Linked DNA regions of Callithrix jacchus. The protein of the gene in region 1 purifies or fractionates together with the protein of each later gene. This does not show direct contact. Links are inferred from orthologs where the notes say so. Each region holds a gene or a part of one and is shown in the gene's direction. Other genes may lie near its edges.

Region 1 (3,370 bases):
GCAATGTGAGGTGATTCATGGGTTGTATATCTGCGGGCTGAGGTGGTGTGTTTGACAGTGCACTGTGTGCCTCAGTGTGTGTGTGTGTGTGTGTGTACTGGCAATGACATAGTGTGTGAGCAGGAGAAAGGGTGTGGGGAATGAATGTGTGATAGTTTGTATGGGATGCTTTGTGTCAGGATAGGGCAAGGTTGGAGCATGTGGGTGATGGGGATCCTGAAAGTAGAATATATTCAGAGATGCCATGGTGTGTGTGTGTGTGTGTGTGTGTAGAGGGGTGTGAGGGTGCCCAGCTGTGTGAGTGGGCGTGTTGGGGGATGTCATGGAGCTGTTTTCTGGTCCCAGAGGGAGAGAGAAAGCCCAGGAAATCTCACTTTCTCCCTGCCCCTGGGTCTCCAGGCAACAGCACCACTTTGAAGTTACCAGGAGACAAGGTTGCCAGGGCAACACAGGCGTGAGTGGCAGCTCTGGGGCAAAGTCTGGGTGAGAAGATCCAGCAGCGAGGGATCACGATCATTCACTTTGTTCCTCCCTTTCTCCCTGTTTCTCATCAATCCCACCTCCCTTCCTTCATTGATTTAACGACTATGTATTTGAGAACCTACAAATGTGCTAGGTGCTATTCTGGGTACTGGAGAGACAGAAGTGAACAAGACCAACAGTGTCCCTGCTGTATCTCTCCCTCAGTCTTCCAGCTCCTCTGTCTCTCACGCCCTCTTCCTTGGCCTGCGGTCCTGCCTTTCCTCCATACCACAAGGAAGGCCCCACTAAACCCCTTAGCCAGGGAGGAAGTAAGTTGAGAGTCCTCATTTCATTGACTTTCAGGGATGGCTGCTGATGTTTTGCACACGAGTGTCCCTGAGCCCGTGTCCCCAGACACACACTCCTGCCCATACTCAGGTGCACAGAAAGACAAGCACACAGCTCATTCCCCTCTCCAATTCTCAGCTGTCACTGGATGGCATCAGCAAAACCACACACAGATACATGCCAAGCACAATATTCCTCTGAGATATCCTAAGCCCCATTTTACAGGAGGGCAAACTGAGGCTACGAGACTTGAAATAATATATCAATCATTACGGTCTACTCCTCCAACTCTCAACCCTTATATTTGTCTGATTAGCTGACAATAATAGTGTTCGTGCTGCTTTTCCCAGCAGCCTCCCGCAGGGAAGGGTCATATTTCCCTCGAAAGCACCCATTGCTCAGCACTAGGTTCTAACCATTTGCCCATTCACCCGGGGCGGAGCTAGCCAAGGTCAATCGAGTTTTGATGGACAGACTCCTAAACCAATAGAGAAACGAAGTGAAGTATAACCGATGCGGCCTCAGCTTGGGCGGGACTAAGGCTGGGAACGCGCCACCAATTGGACAGAGTACACGGCGAATGGCGGAGACGCTGAAGCGGGTGCTAAGTAGGGGAGGCGCGGCCTGGTCCAGGGAGGAGAACACGCCTGCCGCCGGACCGCCTTTGCTGCTGCTCGGCGCACCAGGATCTGGAAAAACAACAATGCTATTTGCTGCGGCCCTAGAGGCGGCCGGGGAGGGCCAAGGCCCAGTCCTCTTCCTGACACGAAGACCTCTTCAAAGCCTACCTCGCGGGACCGGAACGGCTCTGGACCCAATGCGACTCCAAGTAACCGTGGGGGTGGGAGCAGAGGCGTTCTAGCCAATGGTGGAGTCGATCCGGGGCGTTTAGTGACAGGTGGACAAGCCAATGGAGGGGACGGTGGAAAGGCAAGCCAGGGCAGCCATGGTGGGGCGGAGTCAGGCATGCGTAAGGGAGGTGGGACCTTGGGGAGCTTAAGATTGAGGGGCGGAGCTAAGCCTGGGTCCATTCTGTACCAGAGTTGGTTCCTGTTGGGGTCAATGATGGGCTCGGACCGAGCATACTGGGAGGCGGTTTTCCGTGGAAAAACTGCCCTAGAGATTTGGCCAAAAACAAGCAAAATTGGCTTTCCCTCAACTAATACTCGGCAGTGATGAATGCTGGAAAAAGGGGCGAATACAAGAATGTTGAACCGCTCTGAACTGGTTCATCCTGGAGGCAAGGAAAAGCATGTAAGGAGGCAGGGTTACTCTTGCGGGGAGTCTGGCTTCCTGTGCTGAACCTGGCCCTTTCCTTCTGTTTCTTCTTCTAGAAGATCCGCTTCCAGTACCCACCCTCAACCCGAGAGCTTTTCTGGCTCCTGTGCTCTGCCCATGAGGCCCCGGGGCCAGCCCCCTCCCTTCTGCTGCTAGATGGCCTAGAAGAGTACCTAGCAGAAGACCCGGAGCCCCAGAAAGCCGCCTACCTCACTGCCTTACTTCTAGACACAGCTGCCCACTTCAGCCACCGGCTTGGGCTTGGCCGGGACTGTGGGCTCATGGTGGCCCTCCAGACCCAGGAGGAGGCAGATAGTGGGGACATCCTGCACCTGGCACTGCTCCAGAGGTATTTTCCTGCCCAGTGCTGGTTGCAGCCAGATGCACCAGGTCCAGGAGAGCATGGCCTCCGAGCCTGCCTGGAGCCAGGGGGACTGGGCCCCAGAACAGAGTGGTGGGTGACTTTCCGATCAGATGGAGAAATGATGATCGCTCCGTGGCCCACCCAGGCTGGTGACCCCAGCTCAGGCAAGCGTTCAAGCTCTGCAGGCCAGCCCTGAGCTTTGGTGGGTGACCACGTTTCTATGCTTCAGTTTCCCATGGTCATGTGCAGATCCAAAGACCTAAAGAATGTAAAATGCTTTTTCTCTTTTAAAAATATAGCATTATCTTTTATGTATTGCACCCAATCAATATATTGTTTGGTTTTGTTACTTTAAACTTTATAAAAAGAGTTTCAGGCCGGGTACGGTGGCTCATGCCTGTAATCCCAGCACTTTGGGAGGCCGAGGTGGGCAGATTATCTGAGGTCAAGAGCTCAAGACCAGCCTGGCCAACATGGCAAAACCCATCTCTACTAAAAATACAAAAAAATTAGCCAGGTGCATTGGTGCGCGCCTGTAGTCCCAGCTACTCGGGAGGCTGAGGCAGGAGAATTGCTTCAACCTGGGAGCTAGAGGTTGCAGTGAGCCAAGATCATGCCACTGCACTCCAGCCTGGGCGACAAAGGGCGACTGTCTAAAAATAAATCAGCCAGGTGCCAGGCACAATGTCTCACACCTGTAATCCCAGCACTATGGGAGGCCATGGCAAGCGGATCACCTGAGGTCAGGAGTTTTGAGACCAGCGTGGCCGACATGATGAACCCCTGTCTCTACTAAAAATACAAAAATTAGCCATACATGGTGGCAGCTGCCTGTAATCCCAGCTACTCTGGAGACTGAGACAAGAAAATCACTTGAACCTGGGAAGTGGAGGAAGTGAGCCGAGATCGAGCCACTGC
Region 2 (3,823 bases), on another chromosome or scaffold:
GCAGGTATACAGAAAATGGTACAGCCACTCTGGAAAACAGTCTGGCCGTTTCTTAAAGACTAAACATGCAATTACCATATAACTCAACAACTGTACCCTTAGGCATTTGTCCCAGAGAATGGAAATTAAATTCACATAAAATCCTGTATACAGATGTTCATAAGCAGCTTTGTTCATAATAGCCCCAGACTAGAAACAACACAGATGTCCTTCAGTAAGGGAATGATGAAACAAACTATGGTGCATAGTACCATGTATACTATTCAGTAATAAAAAGAAGATAAGTGTTGATATACACAACTGAGATGACTATCTAGGAAATTATGCTGAGTGAAAAAAAGCCAATCCTAAAAGGTTACATAGTGATTTCATTTATGTAACATTTTTTTGTTCTTTGAGACTGAGTTTCACTCTTGTTGCCCAGGCTGGAGTTCAGTGGCTTGATCTTGGCTTACTGTAACCTCTACCTCCTGGGTACAAGCGATTCTCTTGCTCCAGCCTCCCGAGTAGCTGGGATTACAGATGCTGCAACCGTGCCCAGCTAATTTTTTGTATTTTTAGTTGAGACAGGGTTTCACCATGTTGGCCAGGCAGGTCTCGATCATCTAACATTCTTAAAATGAAAAAAATTACAGAAATGCAAAACTGAGTAGTGGTTGACAGAGTTTAGGGATTGATATGGGGCCAGGAGGTGATATGGCAATAAAAAGGTAATGCAGGGCATCCTGTGGTGATAGAATTGATCTGTAGCTTGACCAGATCAATGTCAGTATCCTGGTTGTGTTCTACTACAGTTTTGCAAGATGTTACCATTGGAGGGACTGGGTGAGGGACACAAGTATTTTCTCTGTTATTTCTTACATATAGTTGTATGTGAATCTACTATTATCTTAAAATAAAAAGTTTAATTAAATACAAGGTTAGCTGTCAAGTGTTCTATGCACCCTGCTCCCAGAGCTCTTAACATGGCAAAGGAAGCACACAGAAGCATTCCTTTTATTCATAAGTTTGACTTTGTGTTTTGCATTTAAAAAGATTTTTTTGTTTCATCAAATATCCAAGGAAGTTATACTTTTATAAATGTTATTTCAAGTCTTACTTTTCCAGTTTTCTTTTGTGCTCCAGTCATTTTCCTTTTTTTATATAACTTAACCAGTTCTACTTCTTTTTCTTCTTGGAACTTAGCTTCAACTCAGAGAATGTTAGTGAGATTGTACATAGCACTTTAGGCAGGAAGATTTGATGTAGACATTCCTTTTCCTATCACAGAGTTTTGTGTATTTGTGACTTTGGCAAAATTACATGCATAAAATTGTATTCTGATAAATAGCCATATAAGGGGATCATGTTTATGTGCTTTCTTTTTCTTCAACAGAAACCAGCACATCTAAGAGCACCAATGAGCTTACAGACATTACATGGAGTTCCAGTGGAAGTGATTTGTCAGATGAAGATAAGACACCTTCTAAACTACAGAGAGATAATGGACATGGCTCTAGAATAAACAGATTTTGTAAGAGGAGCATTTTGTGTCCAGAAGATGGGGCCAGTGAAGGTAAATTGATAATTTTGTTAGAAATCCAGTTTCTGTTAAATATTGGATTTAATATTGGGAGAAACTTACATTCCTTTCTAGTATTTATCATTAACATTCCACCTATCAGAATGGCTACAATAAAATATAGTGACAATACCAAATGCTGATGAAGTTATGGAGAGATAGGATCACCAATACATTGCAGGTACACAGTAAAATGGTACAGCCACTCTGGAAAACAGTCTGGCGGTTTCTTAAAGACTAACTATGCAGTTACCATGTAACCCAGTAAGTGTACCCTTAGACATTTGTCCCAGAGAATGAAAATTAAATTCCTTTCTAATAGGATTTTACTGAGTCCCACCCTCTGTGCTAAACACTTCAGAAACATTTTCTGACTTGATATTTCTCACAGTAACTGTAAGAGATAGGTATTATTTTTATAGTTAACAGCTTAAGCTTGGACTTACAAGAATGGATTGGGATTCCATTTTAGGTCTCTTTTGCTCCATAGCCAGTTCCTTCAACTTCTACACAGTGCTGCACCCATACTGCCTTCTTGCCAGCCTGTTATTGTTGAGTAAATACTGTGACAACCAATGTGTGATAGAGGTGTAACAGACTGACAAATTTCTATTTAGATGGTGTTTTATATTGTGTCATGTGTAGATAATTTAAAGCAAAGTTTCTCATCCTTGACACTCTTGACATTTTGGGTCAGTTGATTCTTTGCTATGGGGAGAAGCACCTTCCTATGCCTTGTAGGATATTCTGTGTCCCTGGCCCCTACCTTCTGGGTCATGGCAGCATCCCAGCCATAGGGATGATAAACAAAGATGTCTCCAGATGTTGTCAAGGGTCTCCTGAAGTACAAAAATCACCCCTAGTTGATAACCACAGATGTAGAATTATGGAAATCATGTCTTTTTAGAAATTTTACAATATACAAATCATCTAGAGTATTTAAAGATCTTAATGTTTTCAAAATAAGCTTGCGACTTTTAACTCTGACAGTTCATGATAGGTTTGTACAGACAGCTTCTGGGGGGGGTAGTTAAATTCTTTTGACCACTTTGTATCTCATTTTAGTAATTCAATACCCTTGACATTTTAGTAGTTATCAGGTGAAGTGGTGTTTTAAGATTATGTATAAGCTGATAGCACCTGTATTATTAATTCAGACACATTAAATGAAATTTATTGTTACGTAACCCTTGGTTTGTCTTCATACATTTCAGAATACAATTTCAGTAGTACAACTTTGTGCTTTTTGTGGGTAATACTATGGTTTGCAAATTATATCTCAATAAAGCTGGTTTTTTTTTAAAAAGTTTATCTTCTATGAATAGGGACATTCAGTACTTTCTAAAACTCTTAACAGTGGAAAGATGCTTTGTGCTAATTACTTAAGAATGAGTTTATAGTACTTTAAAATTGTTGACTTATCTTAAAAAGTTGAGCACTAAGTGACAAGTAGGTGATCCCTTGGGGTTTGTGTAATTCTGTTTACAGCTTCTGGTTTATCTTTCTCTTCCCCAACTCCCCATCCTCTGCTCGTGTCCTTCCTGTCCCCACTTCTTCCTTCCTTTTTACATTTACTGGTTAAGTTTTTGTTTGACTCAGACATTTGACTGGGTGTCAGATGTGCTTATTTCCTTTGATGTCTGCTGTATCTTGTGTGCTAAGTAGTATCCTCATTTTAGAGAAGAAATATGGGACTTACAAGTCACTTGCCCAGAGTCACATAGTTAATAAGTGTGCCAGCTGGTAACCAGAACCAGGTTTGTCTAACCTGGATGCCGTATGCCTCAGCACTATTGTGGTGGTCACCAAAGCTGGCGTCCAGGTATCAGAATTACCTTGTGAGCTTTAAAAACAATATTCCTAATGCTGAATACAAGCTCAATATATAAACATCCATTTTAATTTTATATGAGTAACAAATTATAGGACAGTTTTAAAAAATATTATTTACATTAATATAACAAATATAAAATGTTAGATCTAAAATACAAAATGTGTAAGATATTTAGAATTATGTAAAAGATTAACAGAAATTAAAATGGAAATTTAAAAAAAGTAAAACGATATTCCTAGACCTTTTTGCAGTCCTGCTGGATTGGTCTCTGGACCTTAAGGCCTGGAATTGGGCTTGAGAGGGAGGAATCCTGACTTAAAATTTTAAAATATTTTTCTCTTAAAAATACTTTCCCTTCCTTTTTTTTTTTGGAGACGGAGTCTCACTGTGTCACCCAGTCACTCAGGCTGAAGTGCAATGGCGCATTC

What was found.
Region 2: the proteins of SWSAP1 (region 1) and SPIDR purify together in Homo sapiens (co-immunoprecipitation; 3 studies listed by BioGRID and IntAct, with this or other methods). This does not show direct contact. The link is inferred for Callithrix jacchus from reciprocal best matches to the Homo sapiens genes SWSAP1 and SPIDR.

The regions. Positions count from the first base shown.
Region 1 is NC_133523.1:10,522,173-10,525,542, forward strand, and holds SWSAP1 (ATPase SWSAP1), read left to right. Parts: upstream 1-1,376; 5' UTR 1,377-1,390; coding exon 1,391-1,639; intron 1,640-2,144; coding exon 2,145-2,648; 3' UTR 2,649-2,761; downstream 2,762-3,370. UniProt on the Homo sapiens protein: ATPase which is preferentially stimulated by single-stranded DNA and is involved in homologous recombination repair (HRR). Has a DNA-binding activity which is independent of its ATPase activity.
Region 2 is NC_133517.1:7,384,345-7,388,167, reverse strand, and holds part of SPIDR (DNA repair-scaffolding protein), read left to right. Parts: intron 1-1,375; coding exon 1,376-1,555; intron 1,556-3,823. UniProt on the Homo sapiens protein: Plays a role in DNA double-strand break (DBS) repair via homologous recombination (HR).